Drosophila melanogaster: one gene and its partners. Changing the gene in region 1 together with any one later gene gives a genetic interaction. Each region holds a gene or a part of one and is shown in the gene's direction. Other genes may lie near its edges.

Region 1 (4,888 bases):
TTACTTAAAATATAAATATTTAAATAACAGAAATTTCACTATATACTCTTGTAATGCACTTATAATAATTTTATATACAACCTATTAAATAATATTTTTACGTGTAGAAATGAACGCGACAACAGAAATATCTATATGCAAGTATACATATACTTGTATCCCTCACTCTTTTTCACTTTTTCTTTTTTCGCCGATCTCCTGCTCTCTTCTGCAGGTCCTGGCTACGAAAACTCGTTTAAATTAAGATTCAACATTCATTTTTGCATTTCAAGTTTCGTTGGAAAAACGCACGCGTCGCTCCACCGATTAGGATATATATATATATATATATATATACCCATATATACCCATATAATGGGTAGGTTATATATCCTGCCTCGTTCCATCCTGCTCCTACCCAATTATCGCAAGGGCCCCGCTCTTCATCTCGCTTACACTTTTGAGTCCTTTCCATTTCCCGTTTTCGCGGTCCGGAACTATGCTTCATATCAAAGTAATTACGCATTTAAATCCTCCAAGCGTTGCGTCTGGAAAAAGGATATAAACAAGGTAGTCCGAAAAAAATGTTTACTGGTTGTCGGGACAACATCGAAAGGTTACTTAACTTGCTTTCTGATGGTTTTCCTGAAGAACAAGTCTTTCGAAATAATAAAAAAAACATTATTAAGTTTCCGAAAATATATAAAAGACTTCCACAAAGATAGAGTTAAATTAACAATATTATATACTAAAGGAAATGAAGCATTTATGAAATATAAAATTTAAATCATTCAAAATTAAAAGATTCCTACACTAGGTACTATAATTTTGAAGGTAATATCCAATGCTTGTTCAAGGTATGAGTGGCATTTACATGCAAGCGGTGACCGGAATTGGACCTATGATTAATCAATTGTACCGAACACGCGATTATACCAACCTTGCTTATGACTCTCCGCTTCAAGGAAAAAAGGATCGCGTATATGCATTATATGCATTCCACTTCAGTTAAATGTCCGCATACACCATAGATCACACAGTTCACTGAGTGGAGTTTCTAATGACGACTTCAACCCTATTCTAGGCATGTCACCGGCATTTCTCCCAACCATTTATTAAAATGCTTCAATGGAATTTTGGAAAATGCGAAAATTTAAATAGAACATTGTGCTGCCAAAATTTCTGCAACACTCAAGAACAATGATAGTGTTAATGATGGTAAAATAATGGAAACCAACTACCGATCCCTCCGTTACAATGCAAAAACTAAAGAGTGGAGACTCCAAGCGAAGTTCAGCATGCAAAAAAGGTATTGGAAATGGTGAAAGGATTTTATTTATAGGAACAACACAGAGAAGCGCCGTTTGCTGGTCATGGTTGAAAAGGTTTTTTTGTTATCAGGATTTCGGTTTTCGCTTTGGTTTTGGTTTCGGATTCGGTTTTTGATTTTGGGATCCGGGGATCTAAAATTTGCCAAATAGAAGTGAAGAAGTGCTATTGCTGATGATTTGGCAAAAGAAAAATGCTGGCAGAAGCAAACGAGGGTAACGAGTTGAGGACAATAAAAATATTACACCTGGTCGCCGATTTGGCATCTTTTCACTCGCTCATCGATTGATGATCGTGACAAAATGAACCGATTTTTGTGAACAGAGCGGAAGTTACAATTTACAGTCGCCGTTTAGCACGACACAGTGGCCAATGGCAAGTTACAACAGTCTGAAATAATCAATTTATTATTTCAAAGAAGATGTATGAAACTTCATGTATGTCTAGTATTTCTTTACCTTAGACCGCATTATGTAATAGAACAAATAACAAGTATACACCGTTAAAAGTCAAATGTGTGAACATTTAATCAAACCCAGAACTAAATTATTCCCAAACAAATTAATATATTTAAAGCAACATCCCAGTAGTTCTAGAAAAAACACAAGTAGCCACAAACAAAGAACCGCAGTTTTCACTGCAAACTTCCTTCTAGAACTTGTGTCACATCCCTTTGATTTACTTAACAAAAAATTGTGATCCTTTTGATAATTTAATTGGAGAAATAAGTGAAATTGTTTGAACACCTTTAGGGAGCGTACTCCGAATGTCTAATAAGGAGGATCCCAGGATCTTCTGTCGATCCCTTGGATCCGTCCGGCGCTAATGAATAGAAGCGTGCGTGAGCTGCACATAAAATTGGCGATCGCGACTTTTGCTAAGTTAATTAACACAGAAATCAAATTGCTGGCGTGCCGTAGCAAAAAGAGCCCTCACTCAGATACCTTGATCGTTTTTCGATATTTCGAGTTGATATTTTGAGTTTAAAATTTGAGTGTTTCTTTTGGACTGTCGAGTGAGAACAGTTTTCCTGTGGGATACTCGAGTACCTGAGACAGAGAAAGAGAGAGAGACTACCTGTGGCTCACTCACTTCGAGTTCCCTACCTGTGCAGGTAGCTCTTGCCGTCACTCTCTCTCTCTCTTTCTCTCCGATTCTCTCGCCCGTTTCTCTGCCTGAGTGTTGTGCAGAGAGTTGCATAAAGGGTACATAACGCGAGGGTTTAGGACGAAGGGACTCATTCTTGTGTAAGGTGTCAAACGATCAAGTTCAAGTATTGTACTCTGTTCATTTATTTTTTTCTGTTGATCGTTATCCGGAAAGTTAAAGAAAGCTCCGAGTGTGTTAATGAAAAATAATAATAATACAACGAAAAGCACTACCATGTCATCGAGTGTGCTGTCCACCAACGAAACGTTTCCAACGACCATCAATTCGGCAACGAAGATCTTTCGTTATCAGCACATAATGCCAGCCCCTAGTCCATTAATTCCCGGTGGCAATCAAAATCAACCCGCTGGCACAATGCCAATTAAGACTCGCAAGTATACACCAAGGGGTATGGCACTGACCAGATGCTCTGAATCAGTATCATCTCTATCGCCTGGTTCCTCGCCGGCTCCATATAATGTAGACCAATCCCAGTCGGTCCAAAGGCGCAATGCTAGAGAACGAAATCGTGTAAAGCAGGTGAACAACAGCTTCGCCAGGTTGCGGCAACATATACCACAATCCATAATCACGGATTTGACAAAGGGTGGTGGTCGAGGACCTCACAAAAAGATCTCCAAAGTAGACACACTGCGCATTGCCGTCGAGTACATCCGGAGGCTTCAGGATCTGGTGGATGACCTAAATGGGGGCAGCAATATTGGTGCCAACAATGCAGTCACCCAGCTTCAACTTTGTTTGGATGAGTCCAGCAGTCACAGTTCGAGCAGCAGTACTTGCAGTTCCTCAGGGCATAATACCTACTATCAAAACACGATCTCTGTCAGTCCTCTGCAACAACAGCAGCAGCTACAGAGGCAGCAGTTCAATCACCAACCGCTGACAGCGCTCTCATTAAATACCAACTTGGTGGGCACATCCGTACCAGGTGGAGATGCAGGATGCGTATCCACCAGCAAAAACCAGCAAACCTGCCACTCGCCAACATCATCATTCAACTCCAGCATGTCCTTTGATTCAGGCACCTACGAAGGAGTTCCCCAACAAATATCCACCCACCTGGATCGTCTGGATCATCTGGACAACGAATTACACACGCACTCCCAACTTCAGCTAAAATTTGAACCGTACGAACATTTTCAATTAGACGAGGAGGACTGCACCCCCGACGACGAGGAGATTTTGGACTACATCTCTCTATGGCAGGAGCAGTGACTTAATCCCCAAAATTTACCACCACGCCCTATTTTCTTCTAGTCAATGTTGAGTTGAACCAAGTGCCTCAAATTGTAAATAACACTAATACAAAAACAACATACCCCCAATTTTTTTTTCTTACTTTAAGCTATTTTTTTACATTGTTAAGAACCACGAGACCAGTTTCAAATTTATATATTTATGAAATAACTATAGCATGGAAACGAAAACATATTTTTTTGCTAATACAATTTTATGTTAATTAGTTTTTGGTGGAAAAATAAAATGAAAAAATTAAACGAAAAATCATATTTAAGTTCTTTTCTCAAAGGGGATCCATCTATTGATCAGGTTTGTAAAACATTCGGGTACTACTTGCATTGCCTTGCAGTGCCGATGGGACCATGTGCAGCCGTTATGTACAATTAAGGTTGCTTTGCATTGGTTTTACAAAATCACTCTTATATCCAAAAATCATTAATACGAATTACAGATAACGCAAAACATAGATCAGTATTTGGTTTTAGACCAGTAGTTTCCTATTTCTTCAGGTAGTTTCTAAGAATGTCAAATTATCGCAGGTAAGACGATGACACCTGTGACACGTGCCACGAGGTTACTAGTTTAAAAGGTTACTAGTTTTACAATTACGACTTTGAAATTCAGATCAGATATTGAACTTAAAAAAGGAAAAGTGTCGAAAAAGCAATTTACAATTTATTCAATATAAGAGGAGTTCGTATTTATGTATACATTACTACTTAAATATATAAAGTGAGGTAGTTTTAACCCGATCAACACTTTTAAGACTTTTTCTTTTGAATTTGCTCAGCTTAACTATAGTTCCTAGTATTCCCTATAATGTACGGCCTTACAAAAAAGTATTTTACCCACTTTTTACACTTCTGAAAAAGTTAAATGCAAACACCTTACCCCAAACAATAACTAAGTTCTTCACTCCCACGCACCGTTGAGATGTCAGTCCGTTGGAATAAACCTCTTCCACTGGCCAGACAATAAATCACGTTGCATTAGAAAAACAAACGCATGGGAGAATGCGACTATAGACTATATTTTGACACATTAAAGGGCATCACAGACAAAGGACCTCATTGTCCTTAGGATCGCTGGATGCTCCAAAGGAAGTGATAAGGGATAGGGGATCTTTTCTTTCAATGTCAACGCTGACACTTGACAACTCAATGCAATTGTT
Region 2 (4,621 bases), on another chromosome or scaffold:
GTCTCACATAACAAGGGGAGCTCTTTCCTCCTCCTCGACTTGGTCCTTCTGCATTTGCATATTTAATTTGCCTTTAATGAATTTTCAATTTGACAATTGCCGAAATGCCACACAAGAGGCCAGGATTCGATTTGGGGCCAGGCCACCCACGTGCACGGAACTGGGGGAATGGGAACTACCCCAGTTGCGGAGATGGCATGCCATGCCGATTGCATGTCCATGTCCATGTCCGTGTCCAGACTCCTGCTCCTTTCGCTTTTCGCTCTCGTCTGCAAAATGGGACAGAGTGTTAAATGCTAATAAAATAAGTAACATACAAATTTTTCAATTTCAGCTAAAAAAAATAACTGGGCCGAAGACGTTTAAGTCGAGCAGGAGCTGGTGGACTGGGATTCGGTCTGGATATATATAAATATGGATCTGGACAACACTTTCACGGCCCAGAGCGACTTGCTAATGGGAGTCGTTGACGTGAGCCTACTTTCCTCTTGTTGGCATCTCTTGCGCCTACACGTTCCTCATGCCGAAGAGAGTCCTGGAAAGAGTATACTGAATTAGGCCGGCTAGTCAGCAATTTGGTTACTTAACAAAATGTAGAAAATAACTAAATTAATTTAGTTACTGCGTCAATAGTTTAATGGCCTAAGTAACTAATACATGATTTGAGAGTTTAGTAAAAAACCCAATATACAATTATAACATTCACCATATTATATTACACTCAAGAATATACAGGTTGGTTTTTCTAGGATAATATAAGAATATGATTTGGATATGACTACAAGAGTGTTTCATGTTTCACCCAAGCAGATTCATACCCATTCAATTGGCTTTGTCATGCGCTTTCTGGAAGCTGCTCCACATCAGTTGCATTCCCATCGATGGCCAAGTTGCATTTATGCATATTGACATGAAAGAAGTGGCCCGTTACCAGCGTATTGATGCCAATGAGCTGGAGCTGAGGTATTGGAGGTACTGGTACTCATAAGGTATGTGGGTCCGATGTGAGGGATCAGCCACTCGATAACTGACAGGCACGCAAGGCGCCCGATGCCGACCATTGGCGAAAAAAGAACTCGACTTGACTTGGAATGACCCTTTTTGCCCCCTCGACTGGCAGCACGTGCATATTGCGATGCGGCAATGAAAATGTAAATTTCCCAATCGATATGCAGCGGATGCCTTGACATCGGCTAATGCCGATAAGCGAAAAACTTTACAGCGGAGATGCAATCCGAGGGATACGATCTGCACAGGTACATATTGCAGGTGTAACTACTGTCTGTTGCGGCAAGTGGCTCGTAAATTGCATGGAAGGACATTCACGAGGGACGTTCAGGACATTCGAGGTCTCTCAGGGGTGGACAAAAGGTCAAACATGCCTGTGTGCGTCCAATAAATTGGTGGTGCCGCTCTTGGTGCGGTTTGTTGTGTGACATTTTTATCTAATTGACAGCGTTTTTATTGCCCGGCAAAAAGATCAGATCCTTTGGGGCGTGCTACTAGTTGTGCGACTGGGTGGCCGCGGAACTTCAAAGATGCCCGAACACTCCCCCGCAAGTGGTTGATGTAGAATTCGTTGCATTATGATTTCCAGCGAATCATTAAGGATTAAGGGGCGTAGCGAAGGGATCTAAGGACCACCGTGGACGCTTCGTTTTGCTGTGTCATCCTGGGATCTACAACTAAATTCCCTGCTCACGATCGAACACACGGCCGTATTAATTGCAAGGCGCTAAAATGTTAACCCAGCTCTTAGTTACTGCCTGCCACGCTTATTAGGCACGACGAGGGCTAAGGTGAAGGTCAGTCCTGGCACTCGGTCAAGCGTGTCCTTGAAGGGCCGGCGCTATCATCTACCTTCTTCATGGTACCGGCAACAAGCGTATCAATTGGAAAATTTGCCAAGTTGTAATAAACAAGATTTTTCATTGCGATATTCCGCCCCCGACTTTGGGTAAGCATGTCGAATGACCCGGCGGCGGTGGATTTGTAAGGATTTCCCTAGCCGTGATCAGGTAGATCGAACCCACTTGCAACCGATGCAGATTAGATAAACTCATAAGACCCGCTCTGCCATTTGGTGCTGACAAATCGCCAAGGGATTTTTGCAAATTTCGCTTCGCTTTGCGGTCGACTTTAATCCCGTTTAGGGATTCAAATCGATTGTTTGTCCAAGTTCTGTTTACATTTCCGCCCATATTCCTGTTCCGGTTGTGCCGGCCATCCTATAATCATCTTGTTAGCGGCTTTAGATGCCCAGATAGTCGGTTTTCTAGCGCCATTTTAAGCTCGCAACGAACTGAGGTATAACCGGGCTCTCTGAGACCGCTGCAACTCACCACCAACTGCCATTGGTCGTGCCACTCGGGCGGCACGTGCTGCCTTCTGTGGCAACTCGTTTACCTGCCCCCCTACCTGCCTTTCAGGCCCTTCTGACCGTCGTGGTGGATTTGTGAGTATAAATAGGGCCGAAAGGACGAGAGACCAGTCAGAAACCCGCCAGCACTCGCAGCGTTCGTATCGTTTCATCCAGCAACATAACACCACCATACAGCAGCAGCAACATGTCGTCCAGTGAGATCTATCGCTACTACTACAAGACCTCCGAGGACTTGCAGGGCTTCAAGACAGCCGCCGCCGAGCCGTACTTCAATCCCATGGCAGCCTACAATCCCGGCGTGACCCACTACCAGTTCAATGGCAACACCCTGGCCAGCAGCAGCAACTACTTGTCGGCCAATGGCTTCATCAGCTTCGAGCAGGCCAGTTCCGATGGCTGGATCTCCTCCTCGCCGGCTAGCCACCGATCTGAGAGTCCCGAGTATGTGGATCTCAATACCATGTACAATGGAGGCTGCAACAACATGGCCCAGAACCAACAATACGGAATGATTATGGAGCAGTCTGTTGTTTCCACAGCGCCTGCAATTCCAGTGGCCTCTCCTCCGGCAGTGGAGGTCATGGGCTCCTCCAACGTGGGCACTTGCAAAACGATTCCAGCCTCAGCAGGTCCGAAACCGAAGCGTAGCTATACCAAGAAGAACCAGCCAAGCACCACCGCCACCTCCACACCGACTGCAGCTGCGGAGTCATCTGCCTCAGTGAATCTCTACACGGAGGAGTTCCAGAACTTTGACTTTGACAACTCCGCCTTGTTCGATGACAGCGTCGAGGATGACGAGGACCTCATGCTCTTCAGTGGCGGTGAGGACTTCGATGGCAATGATGGATCCTTTGACTTGGCCGATGGTGAGAACCAAGATGCCGCTGCCGGAGGCTCTGGAAAGAAGAGGCGTGGCAAGCAGATCACACCCGTCGTGAAGAGGAAGCGTCGCCTGGCCGCCAATGCACGTGAGCGTCGTCGGATGCAGAACCTCAACCAGGCCTTCGATCGTCTCCGCCAGTACCTTCCCTGTCTGGGAAACGATCGCCAGCTGTCCAAACACGAGACCCTCCAAATGGCCCAGACCTACATATCCGCTCTCGGGGATCTGCTGCGCTGAATTCCCGGATCCCGATCCCAGTCCCAAGTACTATTCTCAGTTATTGTTGGAGCTTGCCAAATGTTGTAGCTACTTTGTATATATTGCCTGGAGCCCAGTAGTGAATTACCGCTTAAGTATTATGCTGTTTATTGTTTAGTTAATTAGCCTAAATGGAAGACAATGATTAAGACTAAGGAAGACAAAATAAAAGCACCATTAATAATTTAAAACATATGTTCGTTTTTTGTTAACGGGGACTTTCTAACAGTTTTAGTAGCTATGCAACAATTCCTAGATGCAAAATGATAAATACAAAAATTCCAAGCCATCCAAATCCTTTCATCTCTGAACAATTCTGTTTCCCCAATCCTCGATATCCACACTTATCGGCGGGGCATCAATTCTCACACAGTGAATTGGACTTTATTATATGGGGGAAGGTGATCGATTTGGCGCTTCGCGATCAATTTGTAGACAGTTCGACAAAATTAGGGCCCCTCTTAATCGGGTTGGCCAAAACAAATACGCAGCGGACGATAATTACACGGCACGGCGCGCCGGACTGTAGCTGCCAAATTAAGTTAAGTGTTGGGCTGATCTGCTTTCAGCAGTCGCAGGTCGCATGCAATGTCCGTATGTCCGCTTGTCCGTATGTCCATTTGTCCGTCGCTGTCCCTGGAACCTCTGCAACTTCATATCCCAGTGGAAGTCCCAGTCGAGCCCCGAAAATCAAGCGCCACTCACAAATCGTTTAATACGAAGTTCGATCCCCGATCGTTGTTGGCGGATAAACTCAGCGGCTTAAGACTTTAAGCCGAAACTGTGCACTCAGCAAAACAAGAAGGTGTTGAAGAAGTTTTGTTCAATAAGTTAATGTAATAAATAATATTATTTAAGGTAATATAATAAAATGTATATAGTACAAGATAGGATCAAAGCAAACCTTTATAGTTAGTTCTACACAGAATTCATTCCCTTTAAAATATAATTAAATATATTATTTAGTGATATTAGATGGATGATATTTTTGGATCTGTTGAATAAATAAATCCTATGACGATTTCTGGCAGTGCAACATATCATTCAGCTTAAAACGGAGCAGAGATCCCCGGCCCAGTCAGTCAGTCATTCAG
Region 3 (6,119 bases), on another chromosome or scaffold:
TGCATCTGGATCGGAGTCCTCACAGGCACAGCAGTCGCCCTGCCACAGGGACAAATGCTTGATAAGAACGCTAATTAAGTTAAATGCCAACTGTGTGTGGTTTCTACACTGAAAAAAATATGTTGTAAACTGTATAGCATTATACTGACATGCTGAAATTTCATGCATGCTTATAGTTTTTATGTTAGTTGTTTAACAATTAGTATTTCATTTAACGTATTTAATTTCTATGCAAAACTATTACAAATAACTTTCTTCCTTAATAAATGAATTTGTTTTCAGTATTGCGGTGATTCCAGGTAAGTGATCAGAAATTGGCGTGGTTTGCTTCCCTTTGATTTATGTCCTGCCATTGGACATCGGTCGGTAGGAGGGGGCCACACCTACTATCTTATCTGTCGGGTGAACACTTTCGCTGTTTGTTTGTTTGGGTGTTGTTGCCACACATCTGCCACTTCGTGTCGAGCGTGCATGTGTGTGCTGGTTTCCACTTGAGGATCTCGACGTGCTCCTTAATTGTTTACCAGTTGTTTACTACATGGATCCTTTCCCTCCCGCAAATCTCAAGAACGCATAAATATGTGTATTTTGAAATCGCTTCTATGGACTATAGGCTGAAAGGTACCTTTTTGTGGCCAAAAAAGTCCGTAATATTAAGTTTTGATTACGTCATTATGTTATTATAAGATTAGACTTTAGTGTTGCGTACCAGAAATTTAAAAAAAAAAAAAATCCCGCACGGTTAACATAATCGACGGCAGGGAATATTAAATTATTAATCGAGAAATCCCCTGAGAAAGCCAAAATTTCATTAATAAATCAGCATGTCGCGGAGAAAATGTCTGCCAACGACGTGCATTTCCCTTATTTTAGATCAAAATGTAACAAAGAACAATATATTAGGGAGTTAACAAAAAATAAACATTTTTTCCTCGTGCTGCAAATAAAAAGAAAGATTGCCGATTAAATAATTCTTTAGTGTCTGGCACGAAAGCAGAGGTGCCTTTACAAAGTTTGCTTAACCAAAGTTTGCTTAACTTTGCAAGAAGAAGGCCTATTAAGAGTACAAATCAAAAATTGATCCCAAAAATGTCTTTTTACTTAAAAGATATGTATTTATTTTGGTAACAAAATTAAATATAAGGGGCGGACCACGCCCACAATTTTTGGTATCGTAAAGATATAGCCTAGTGTTACCCAATAAAAAAAAAAACAGAAACTAAATATCTCTCTCCGTTTTGTCAAAAAGGTACAATTCAGCCTTTAGTGGCTTTGGCGCCTCAAACGTTTTTCAAATCGAAGAGAAAATTTCGAGAGCGAAACAGAAACAAAGTGGAATCGAAACAGTGAGAGTGAAGAGAAGCAATTGGCTTAAAGAGAATGCTTATGCTCTTTTTCGTACTGAATTTTAGCTTGGCTCTTTCTAAACGTTCTAGTTGTATATTTACCGTATTGTATTTCTGAGAAATTTTCCTATTTTTTTAAAATTTTTTCTGGGTATTTGGACAAAATCGAATCAAATCCAAGTCGTAAAATTCTCGCCAATTCGATTACCGGAACATGCCCGCAGAAAAAAATTCTATATCATTATCTAATGATGAATTACAGAATAATCATATTAGTACGCCGAAGTAGTAAAGCTATTAATTTATTATAAATATTCCTAAGGATCCATAATGAAAGATGTTAATATATTTAATATTGTTTACTTATAAACGGGGAATACAATATTTCTAAAACTTTTTACGCAAAATCGATTGAATATTGGTTACTTTTGATTCCGTACAATAACATACTTGTTAATAAACAAATTTAGTGACTACAATTACTACGTTCACTCCTTTCTCCTGCCAAAAAACATTTTATTGATGCAGAAGTCTACCTGCTCATTAATGCATCGCCCTGTGTCCTAAAAATGTTAGTATTTTATGTTGGGTACCTGCCCATGTTTTTTGCGTTTCAGTTATTAAGTCAACTAATGATGCACCTGATAATGATAATGAGGTAAAAGGAAACCCTTGTTCGCTAATCCTCCAAAAGTGGGGTTTTTCGAATTTCTAGTTAAATTTCTAGGTAAGATCATAGATCTCCTTATTGCGCATTGAATGCAAATGCAGAGAGGACGAGAGAGAGCAGCTGCGGAGAGCACGATGCACACAGGTAAACATATTTGAATATATGGCCCACACTAGAGCAAATATAACGGCATCGCTTCGTTTGCGGCTTCGATTGGTGCAAGTGTACGAGTTCGGCACGTGAGGCAATTCTACATAAACAAGGCGAAACCTGTTTAGCCGAGTGCCGCGATTGGTCGACGCATATACCTGAATGAACATGCATACTCTCGGCGGAACGCCCGAGAGAGCGTTCTCTTTTGGCAGCTTCGTGTAATGAGCCGAGTGCCGAGTGCAGGGGCAGTATAAAAAGGCCGCACCACCGCCAAACTCGCTCAGTTATTCCCAGACTCTAACCGATTCACATAACCATCTCTCCCAACGCAATATACCCGAAATATAACCGATATTCAATCGCTTTGCTTAACGGAACACGCGTTTGGTATTTGTGCATCGATCGAGTATTTGTGCCTGTGTGAACATGACACACTGAAAACAAAGTGACGAAAATTAAGAACATTTTACAACAATTCCGGTAAACTATCAATAAAAAGCCAGTAAAATGCATACCGTGGAAGACATGTTGGTGGAGAAAAACTACAGCAAGTGCCCGCTAAAAAAGCGCCCAGTTAATTACCAGTTCGAGGCGCCTCAAAATCACAGTAACACCCCAAATGAGCCGCAGGATTTGTGCGTAAAGAAAATGGAAATTCTGGAGGAAAATCCCTCCGAGGAACTGATCAACGTCAGCGATTGTTGCGAGGACGAGGGTGTGGATGTAGATCATACAGATGATGAACACATCGAGGAGGAGGACGAGGACGTCGATGTGGATGTGGACTCGGACCCAAATCAGACCCAGGCTGCGGCTTTAGCTGCTGCCGCAGCTGTGGCCGCCGCTGCAGCCGCCTCCGTGGTTGTGCCCACGCCCACATACCCGAAATATCCCTGGAACAACTTCCACATGTCGCCCTACACCGCCGAGTTCTACAGGACCATCAATCAGCAGGGTCATCAGATTTTGCCGCTGCGTGGCGATCTCATTGCGCCCAGTTCGCCGAGTGACTCGCTGGGCTCCCTGTCGCCGCCACCACATCATTACCTTCATGGTCGCGCAAGCTCCGTTTCCCCGCCCATGAGATCTGAAATCATCCATAGACCAATCGGCGTGCGGCAGCACCGTTTCCTGCCCTATCCACAGATGCCCGGTTATCCGAGCTTGGGCGGCTATACCCATACCCATCATCACCATGCGCCTATCTCGCCGGCTTATTCCGAGAATTCCTACTACTCCATGCGATCGATGACGCCTGAATCCAGCTGCAGCTCCTCGCTGCCCGAGGATCTATCCCTGAAACACAAGAACCTGAACTTGAATCTAAACACTAGCCAGCCGGGAGAGCAAGCAGCAGCCAAAACCGGGGATATGTCGCCCGAAACTATGCCGAATGCCTCCGCCAAGAAGGACAAGAACCAGCCGCCGCGTTACCAGTGCCCGGATTGCCAGAAATCTTACTCCACCTTCTCCGGGCTGACCAAACATCAGCAGTTCCATTGCCCGGCCGCCGAGGGTAATCAGGTGAAGAAGTCCTTCAGCTGCAAGGATTGTGACAAGACCTATGTTTCGTTGGGTGCCCTCAAGATGCACATTCGCACCCACACGTTGCCCTGCAAGTGCAATCTGTGCGGCAAGGCCTTCTCGCGACCATGGCTGCTGCAAGGACACATTCGCACTCATACGGGAGAGAAGCCCTTCAGTTGCCAGCATTGCCACCGGGCCTTTGCAGATCGCTCGAATCTGCGAGCACATCTGCAGACCCACTCGGACATCAAGAAGTACTCCTGCACCAGTTGCTCGAAGACCTTCTCGCGGATGTCCCTCCTAACCAAGCATTCAGAGGGCGGATGTCCTGGCGGCAGTGCAGGATCCTCCAGCAGCAGCGAACTCAACTACGCCGGCTATGCCGAGCCGTAAGGCAATATATTTATATATACATTATATAGCTGAGATCCCAGCCATGTTCCACCAAAAATTAGTTCCTAGCTCTCTTAGGCGGCTCCAAGTTCCCGAAACTCCCAGTGCAGACACACAACTTCAAGCAGAATTTCACTTGTTTTTTAATTTCTAGTCAGCATTTTCTCCCAGAAGAGAGAAAATTAAAAATTACGTTTTAATTTGTACAATCCGGCAACATTTTTGTAACCACCACCACCAATTTGAATAGTTTGAACCATTTTAAAATGTGTGCCCATAATATATCCTAAAGATGAACTTTGTAAAGTATTCTTCGATTTATCCTGTACATAATGTATTATGTCTAACTGTAGACTCTAAGCTGAACAAATGAAACGCCAGACAATCAATCGTAAGCAAGACATACATCTCTATATTTTATACGATAGTATTTTTAGCCTAGCTGTAAAAACCGTAAACTATTTTTGATATGACCACTACTTTTTCGCGTACACATTGAAAATGTTCTACTGTAGCTTAAGTGAAGATAAGCAAACAACACATACATATATTTTGATACGAAAATGTTTTGTAATTCTAAGTAATTTATTGCATCAAGCGAAGAAAGAAGGAAATACATTTTATTTACATACAAAAAAAAAACATTGAAAACGTTTTTATTTCATTAATGGGTGGGCTTTGGGACCTTTTTATTTCAGGATAATATGCAAGTCGTTCTACACAAACTTAGAAAAAATCTTTTATTTTTCTATATACGGTAATTATGTTAACAATACCATACATATATTTGAAACAGTCTTAATTTGATACTCCTATATGCCAAAACATTGTTAATTTAATCATATTTAAGCATGGTATTTTCATATCAACTTCAGTGGTTAAATCTTTATAACATTTCTGGTCAGCTAATGTAATATTTGACATATTTAAATGTACATATATACAACCTTTAAATATTTATCTGTTGAATGCTTAGACCACATTTTCTATTGTCCACATTCAATTAAAAGTCAATTCCTATTTCCGGCAGAAGGTTCAATGGAATCTAGAATGATCGTGAGTGGTCTCTTCCAGAGTTCGCCACATATTTGGTTTTATTGGGTCATGTTCTTCTTCTTCGAACAAATAAACAAATCGAATTGAGTGGATCGGAAAATAAGAGCCGACCCAATCCAGCCATTCGCGACATTTTATGGCCCGCCCAGTGAAGCAAACGTAAGGCGCATTTTCTTTGGCAGACTGATCATAAATTACATATGTATATGTATGTATTTAAATTTCGGTGCACGTACGACGCGAGCACAAAATGGCAGTCACTAAATCAAACTTCAAGCCTCAGTAGACCCGCGCCCCGGCCAAAAAGTCGTATTAGACATGAGACGCGATCTTAATGAGAGAGCAGTGAAAATAGTGTCTTGGCCCGGAGATCATCAAGTGTGATCGATGCCTACCAGTATCCAGCCAAGCGGAAAAGCGCAGGGAAATCATAATCGTACGGTAAGGTATCGTTCGGGTGACAGAGCATACGAAATTATGGGTGCGTCCTCTGAAGCCAAACGAAATGAAACGAAACGAAACGAAACTCATTATCGAGATCAATCGATCGCCAGGCGGAGGAGAGCCTGCTCCAGAGGCCCACAAATAGCGCACACATGTGTGTGGGGATCGGGATCGGGATTGGCATGGGTTTGGGGATGGGGATCCGCCGATCCAGTCGATCCGCGATCATCGGCATCAGCGATCGACGACCACGACAATTGTTGCCAAATTAGATCATCAGGCAGCTAGAAAAGCAGCAAAACCCAAACGGCAACGGCAGCAACAAGTCTTAGTCAAGTTTCACGTGGCTACACTGAGCGAAAAGGGTAGGAATAAATACATTTTTAACTTGCTAATCTCTTCATCATTAATGCAAAGCCATTCGAACTTACCTAAATAGACATAGTTAATGGAAGGCAGATCTGTTTTAAACTTTATTACTACATTTTTCAAACATTGTGGAAATGTAAGTTTAGCTTTTTTCAGTGCAT
Region 4 (5,956 bases), on another chromosome or scaffold:
TCTTATTGTACCTTTTTTTTGTGCTTCTTGTTGTTGTCTTGTTTATTACCTGCTTTTATTTTTTGTTTTCATCTTATGCGCCTACAACTTTACTTATTTTTTATTCTTATTTTTTATATATGTATTAACTTTAATTCACTTGTAATTCAAGCAGTCTTCAAAACCGCAGATCATGTTGTGGGTTCTTAATTTTGCCAGCCAGTTTCTTTTTGAAATTCAACTCCTTCTTCTTAATCTTCATCGTGATTCTGAAAATGTTTTTTTTTTTCAAATTAAGAGTTGAGTTTCATATAGACTTCCTCATCTAAGCCTCTCTTTTCAGAAGAAGTCGTAGATATCAAGTAATGAAAATTGAAATCGATTTTAGGGAGAAGAGTTGTATTTGTAATCTATAAAGCTACGGAAGTAGAAAAATGTTTATCCGTGACTGTCCCTATGGTTAATACATATTTTAACCCAAATTTATGGCGATTAATATGCAAGGAAAGTAATGCTAAGGAAATTACCAGGATCTACGAGTAAACAGCAACATTAAGCAAGGGATAGGGATAATTAAGCTGGATTTTCGTGTGCTCCTAGCGAGGGAAGGAAGAAAAAAATGGGGGGGGGGGAGTGGTTGTGTTGTCTAGTCGTCTTTTCACCTGAGGGAAATGGGGGCGGGGCCAGCCCGCCAACCCAAAGGTCATTTGTATGCGTCTTTAGTAGCGGGACATGTCCGGCGTTTTATGATGAGGAGAAATCACCTTGGGGCCCAAATCAAAAATTCAATAAACATTGAACAGCGACGACAGAACAGACAGAACGAGCAGAAAATCTGTTTTAAAATTATTTACCATTCTTGGGCTGCTTGTAAGTCCTATGCATTCATTATGCAAAGCGCGTGGCATGACTGCTAAATAAAAATATTGAATATGCAGAGCCACTTCAGCTGCTCAGAAACAAAGCGGAAAAAATCAATCATTCGCGGTATTTCTCAAAAGAAAAAAAGAAGAAAAAACCCTACATAATACCAAGACTTAGTGCTACTGTTTGGGTAAATTATAACAATTGCGTACTGATTTTAGTGGATAATCTAAACACTATCTATACTATACTATATACGGTATAATTGTTATTTGAAAGTACAAACAATTTTAAGTTTTTTTTTGTAACCTGGCTCGTGGGTGTGGTCATAAAAAAGTCTAAGAAAGGTTTAAGCTGCTGAGTGTCGTAGCAGTGAGGTTTTCGTCTCGAATATAACGTGTTTTTTAGAAAACGGGTTTACTTGAGGTGTGCAAGAGGAAGGAGGTCTCTTCACAAACTCTTAAGATAACTGGTTTAATGTAGATCGCTACAGGGGGTGCGAAAGAGATGGACATAGCTATGTGCGAACTTAACGAAGTTTACTTGCCTTCAAGCTCGAACTTGTTGCATGTACACTATCGCCGCACCTTTCGCACCACTCTTATACCCGTCACTCGTACAGTTAAAGGGTATACTTAATTCGTTGAAAAGTATGTAACAGGCAGAAGGAAGCGTTTCCAACTTTATAAAGTATATATATTCAGGATCAGGAACAATAGCCGAATCGATTTAGCAACACACTTTCTAACACTTTCGCATTTCGCATTCGCATTTTCACTAGCTGAGTAACGGGTATCTGATAGTCGAGAAACTCGACTATACCATTCCCTCTGGTTTAAAACCAACTTGTTGCTGGCTTTTCTTATTTATATTTTTCTTGACTAATTTCCCGACTGGTTTTTCTTGTTGGCCAAAGAAACGAGTTTTCTTGGAAAAAGGCACTCAAAACCTCTAGGAAAATGCAACATGTTGCTAAAGGCAAATTGAATTTCCATACAAAATTGCTTCTATTCGTTGCTGCCTTAGGCTCATTTTCACCATTTGGGTCCGTTATCGACGAAAAAAATATAAAATATATAAATACGCATACAATGTTTTTAAAACCAAATGAAACAATTTTTTTTCCAAAATGGGTTTACTTCTCCTTAAAAGTTACATATAAAAGAAACTACATGATGATTTAAACTTAAAAACAATTTTAAAATTATTTCAAATTTATTGGTTCTTTTGTTGAAAACATTACATGCCTAAAATATAAAGGCAACATTTATTATTTGTTTTCTGAATATAATCAAACTTAAGAGAAATTCGCTATTATGTTCTCTTAATAAAAGTCGAGTCAAACATGTTAGCTTAACTTAACAGCGCTGTTAACGGCTCTCATCAAACGCGTTCGACTCGAACTTGTGCGGACTGTGTTGTGGAACTTGAATTTTGCGGCTGCGGCTCAAATTTTCGTTTCCCTTTCTCTGTGTGTTTTCCCATTTCGGATCGAACGCTTCGTGGAAAAGTGAGCGCGCGTTGTCTGAATTTCCCGCCGCGTTTTTCGTCGATTTCCGCGTGTGTGCGAACAACAACTCAGCAGCAGCAACAACAACAGTCCCAATTTATTGGGTAAAACGCAGAAAATATACTAAATTTGAGGTATAAAATTGAAATTTATACAAAATTACTGTGCACAGTGTATGTGTGTGTGTGGTTTCAGTGGCAGTGGAAAGACCAAAAGCAACGGTATACAAAATCAAAACAATGCAAGCAAGCAACAATAAATACAAAATAATAGATTTATTTCGAATAAACAACAGTTAAAACTTTAAGAAAAGGAAACGAAGCTAAGATAAATAAGAAAAAAACGCAGCATCTGCGTCATCTCTATCTCGCTCCCTCCCTCCCGTTTTATCCACGATCTCTGACGATCGCTCTGTCCCCCTCGCACTCGCACATCTTTACCGATTTACCTGGGAAACAGGTTTAGCGTCCATTTCGTGTGTATGTGTATGCGTGCGTGTGATTGTGTGTATAACGTGTATTGGTGTGTTTCTTGGAAACCTTTTAAGTGATTTTCTTACCTGCTCAAAAGTACAACAAAAGCAATAAAAACATGTTGCAACTCTAAAGCAACAACAAGCACGAAAAAGTGTGAAGCATAAATGCAGTTATAACTGTGAAAAAGGAGAGGTAGATAAAGGCGAAGCAAAGATATGGATAAATGAGATGAAAAAGAAAACTTAAACAAAGTAAAAAAAACCTGTTAAATTTTTTTGATATATTAATAATAAAAAATATATTATTAATTATTGCAAATTTATGAAAAAAAAAAAACAATGGATGGATACAACTTAAAAGAATTAGTGATAATACAACAACTGCCATAAGGACTTGGATTATAAACATAAACTGCACTTGAATAACTAATAAAAAACAAGAATGCCCGTGGAACCACATACAACATCTTAACCCCACAAAGCCGAGCAATTTCTAATCAACAACACCATTCTTAACCCTTTTCAGTTGTTCTTCTTCGTTTTCGGCTATCCGTTCAAAGTTTCGTGTGCAATAAATAAAAAATACTATATCGTCGAAAGCATAAAAACATTAACCAACGCAATGGAGCGTTGCAACAACACCACTAACTGCGAATTGGAATAAGAAGTCCAGCAAAAGTAGCAAAAATTGTTTTTGCAAAGGGAATTGAGAGTAGCACCCAAAGATAAGCAAAAACAGTAGAAACATATACAAAATATATTCAAAATATAGTCACAAAATGAGGCGAAAAACTACCACGAAAGGGACGGCAATAGTCAATAGCAGGAGTGCGAGGAGAGCAGCAACGACTATATGCAACTTTTTTCTCATCGGTAAGTTTACTTTGTTCGTTTGATAAGAAGCTTTTTGTTTGCAATGGAGTTATATATGTATATAATTGCTAAGAAGATTACCCAGCTTTTCTCGAGCATTATTCCAGAACTTAAATATCTATAGGGGGTATCACTTGAGTTCATTTGTTTATCGGTGGTAAGATTGATAGCTCCCGATAAATCCCAATCTATTCGCTAGCTCACTCTTTGTGTTCGGCACACGCATATCACAAATCAATTAAAAGTTTCGGTTCCGCCCTTGACATACCCTGCTTATGACAGCTCCCCTTTTTCCGCCACTTTCCTCCGGCATTTTCCCCCTGTTTTTTCAAGTCGCCTTTGCTGTTGTCACCTTGCGACGTCACTTTAGTTTTTTGTTGATCTAGGTTGTTGCAGCTTGACGTCAGCGTAAAGTTTTTTATCTGCTACCCAAGCCTCCCCAATTTTCCACGCAATTTTCCGCAGCCCACCCCTTTGTTGGCTCCTGTCAATTGGCAGCATTTACTAGGAAGATATTGAATCGGTAGCTAAAGTAAAGTCGATATTCCATGAAAAAAACTGATTAACCATGTATTTACTATGTCTATATCCACACTTGACAGTCTGAAAGATATAAGTATCGTCTTAATTAAAAATTCCAGCATAATTTTCCACTTTCCAGATGCTCCGCATCAGTTAGGAAATGCTGTTATTATGCAAGAATATTTACTGTGTCACAAATAAAGGGCGCAAAACTGGGGGAGAGGACACAGTGGTATAAGTATAGGAAAAACTTTAGTTTGGCACGCTTCGGCAAAGTTTTTCCCTTCCGCACACATAATGCTTTGCTTACAAAATGCTTTTTAATACTTAAAGAACCCCTGGAAAAGTCGGCAAAGGGGGGGGGCTGGGGCTAAATTTAAATGTGAATTATATCCACTCAATCGGGCAAATCGGTCAAGGGAAGTCGAAAAGGGGAGCAGCCAGTTCCTTTTTATTAATTTGTCTGGCGATTAGTTGGGGGCTAGTCCCTCTGAGTTTTTAACCCCCTCAAAAGATATATTGCACCATTAACTTTATGGCGCTCTCCGCGTTTTCAGCTCGTGTTTTGTGTGTGTGCAATCAGTTAATAAACAAAACGTGTTGATTTGACATCTTAATTGGGCCTTTGACACGCGTTTTCCAACGCTTTTATACGAACTACTCGTAAAAGTCGTCTTTGAAGCTTTAACTGTCAACGCCTCCGACCGAAAAAAAAAACGAGAAATCAATGAACTCTCTATGGAGGCTTTTTAGGCCTCAAGCTTCTGGGGAATTGCTCCACTCGGGGGCATTATTAGATTTGATGACAGTGGCCAAGAGGGAATTGACATTTAAAACAGGCACGCGGATCGGAGGGATCAGACATTAAAAACGCATTAAAAGATTAGCAACGAGGAATGGTGGAAAACTAAAGACCTTTGGCGGCTTAGGATAATAATTACTTGGTAATGTGCAAATGGGCTGAACTAATAACCTTAGCGGTTTCGTGCTTATATATGTAATGTATAAATAGTTTAAAAATATTTAAATATTTATTTAAATAAACCAACATTTTCCAAAACGCCCCTTCCATGATTTATTTTTAGCCATGTCTTGTGTCTTTTTCCCACACCATCTACTTGATTGTCAGCACATTTATCCTGTTGATCCTTGAAGTGCATTCCAATTTGGTTGAGTTTTCCTTGGAAAATCCCCGGTGCCGTTGTGTGTACAGTAAAATGCTCAAGGAGCAGCACAGGATATTGCTTAAGAAGTGCTCGAAAGGCAGTTTGCAACAATTTGTGTGCGTCTCCTTTGGTTTTTATGTTTATTTCGTCTGCCTTTGGTTTTTATTTTCGTTTGTCTACCTGCTAACTGTCGCCCTTTTTCCTGTATTTCCATGCCGCTTTCCCTTTGAGTTTTCCACATTCATTTCATTTCCTGGCTTTTCCAAATGCCTGCGCTCCTAAAACGTTACCTTACCCCGCCATTTTCCCACTTTTCCCTCCGTGTTTTTAGCGCGTGAATTATGATTGTGGCTTAGTTTTTCTCACTTTTCCGGAGTTGTTATTGTCCCTGTTTTTTTTTTTTTTTTGTTTTTTGGTCCCCTTCATATCATTTTCCACACATACACACACACACACTCGCACACGCTTGCTGCAAAAATATCTGCAACTGCTGCAACTTTGAAATTAAAATAAATTAAACAAATATTTTGTTTGTTTCAAACATTTTTTACGTGCAAAATTCAGCGA

What was found.
Region 2: of sc (region 1) and ato, changing one suppresses a phenotype caused by changing the other (phenotypic suppression), as found in Drosophila melanogaster (2 studies listed by BioGRID).
Region 3: of sc (region 1) and esg, changing one suppresses a phenotype caused by changing the other (phenotypic suppression), as found in Drosophila melanogaster (one study listed by BioGRID).
Region 4: of sc (region 1) and ed, changing one enhances a phenotype caused by changing the other (phenotypic enhancement), as found in Drosophila melanogaster (one study listed by BioGRID).

What each region holds. Positions count from the first base shown.
Region 1 is NC_004354.4:393,522-398,409, forward strand, and holds sc (scute), read left to right. Parts: upstream 1-2,538; 5' UTR 2,539-2,655; coding exon 2,656-3,693; 3' UTR 3,694-3,976; downstream 3,977-4,888. UniProt on the Drosophila melanogaster protein: AS-C proteins are involved in the determination of the neuronal precursors in the peripheral nervous system and the central nervous system. Also involved in sex determination and dosage compensation.
Region 2 is NT_033777.3:8,275,559-8,280,179, forward strand, and holds ato (atonal), read left to right. Parts: upstream 1-2,493; 5' UTR 2,494-2,567; coding exon 2,568-3,506; 3' UTR 3,507-3,716; downstream 3,717-4,621. UniProt on the Drosophila melanogaster protein: Developmental protein involved in neurogenesis. Required for the formation of chordotonal organs and photoreceptors. Seems to bind to E boxes. Specifically required for the photoreceptor R8 selection.
Region 3 is NT_033779.5:15,331,418-15,337,536, forward strand, and holds esg (escargot), read left to right. Parts: upstream 1-2,448; 5' UTR 2,449-2,676; coding exon 2,677-4,089; 3' UTR 4,090-4,721; downstream 4,722-6,119. UniProt on the Drosophila melanogaster protein: Transcription factor that can both stimulate and repress transcription. Binds to the consensus DNA sequence 5'-A/GCAGGTG-3'.
Region 4 is NT_033779.5:4,029,069-4,035,024, forward strand, and holds the start of ed (echinoid), read left to right. Parts: upstream 1-2,308; 5' UTR 2,309-2,487; intron 2,488-3,354; 5' UTR 3,355-3,607; coding exon 3,608-3,701; intron 3,702-5,956.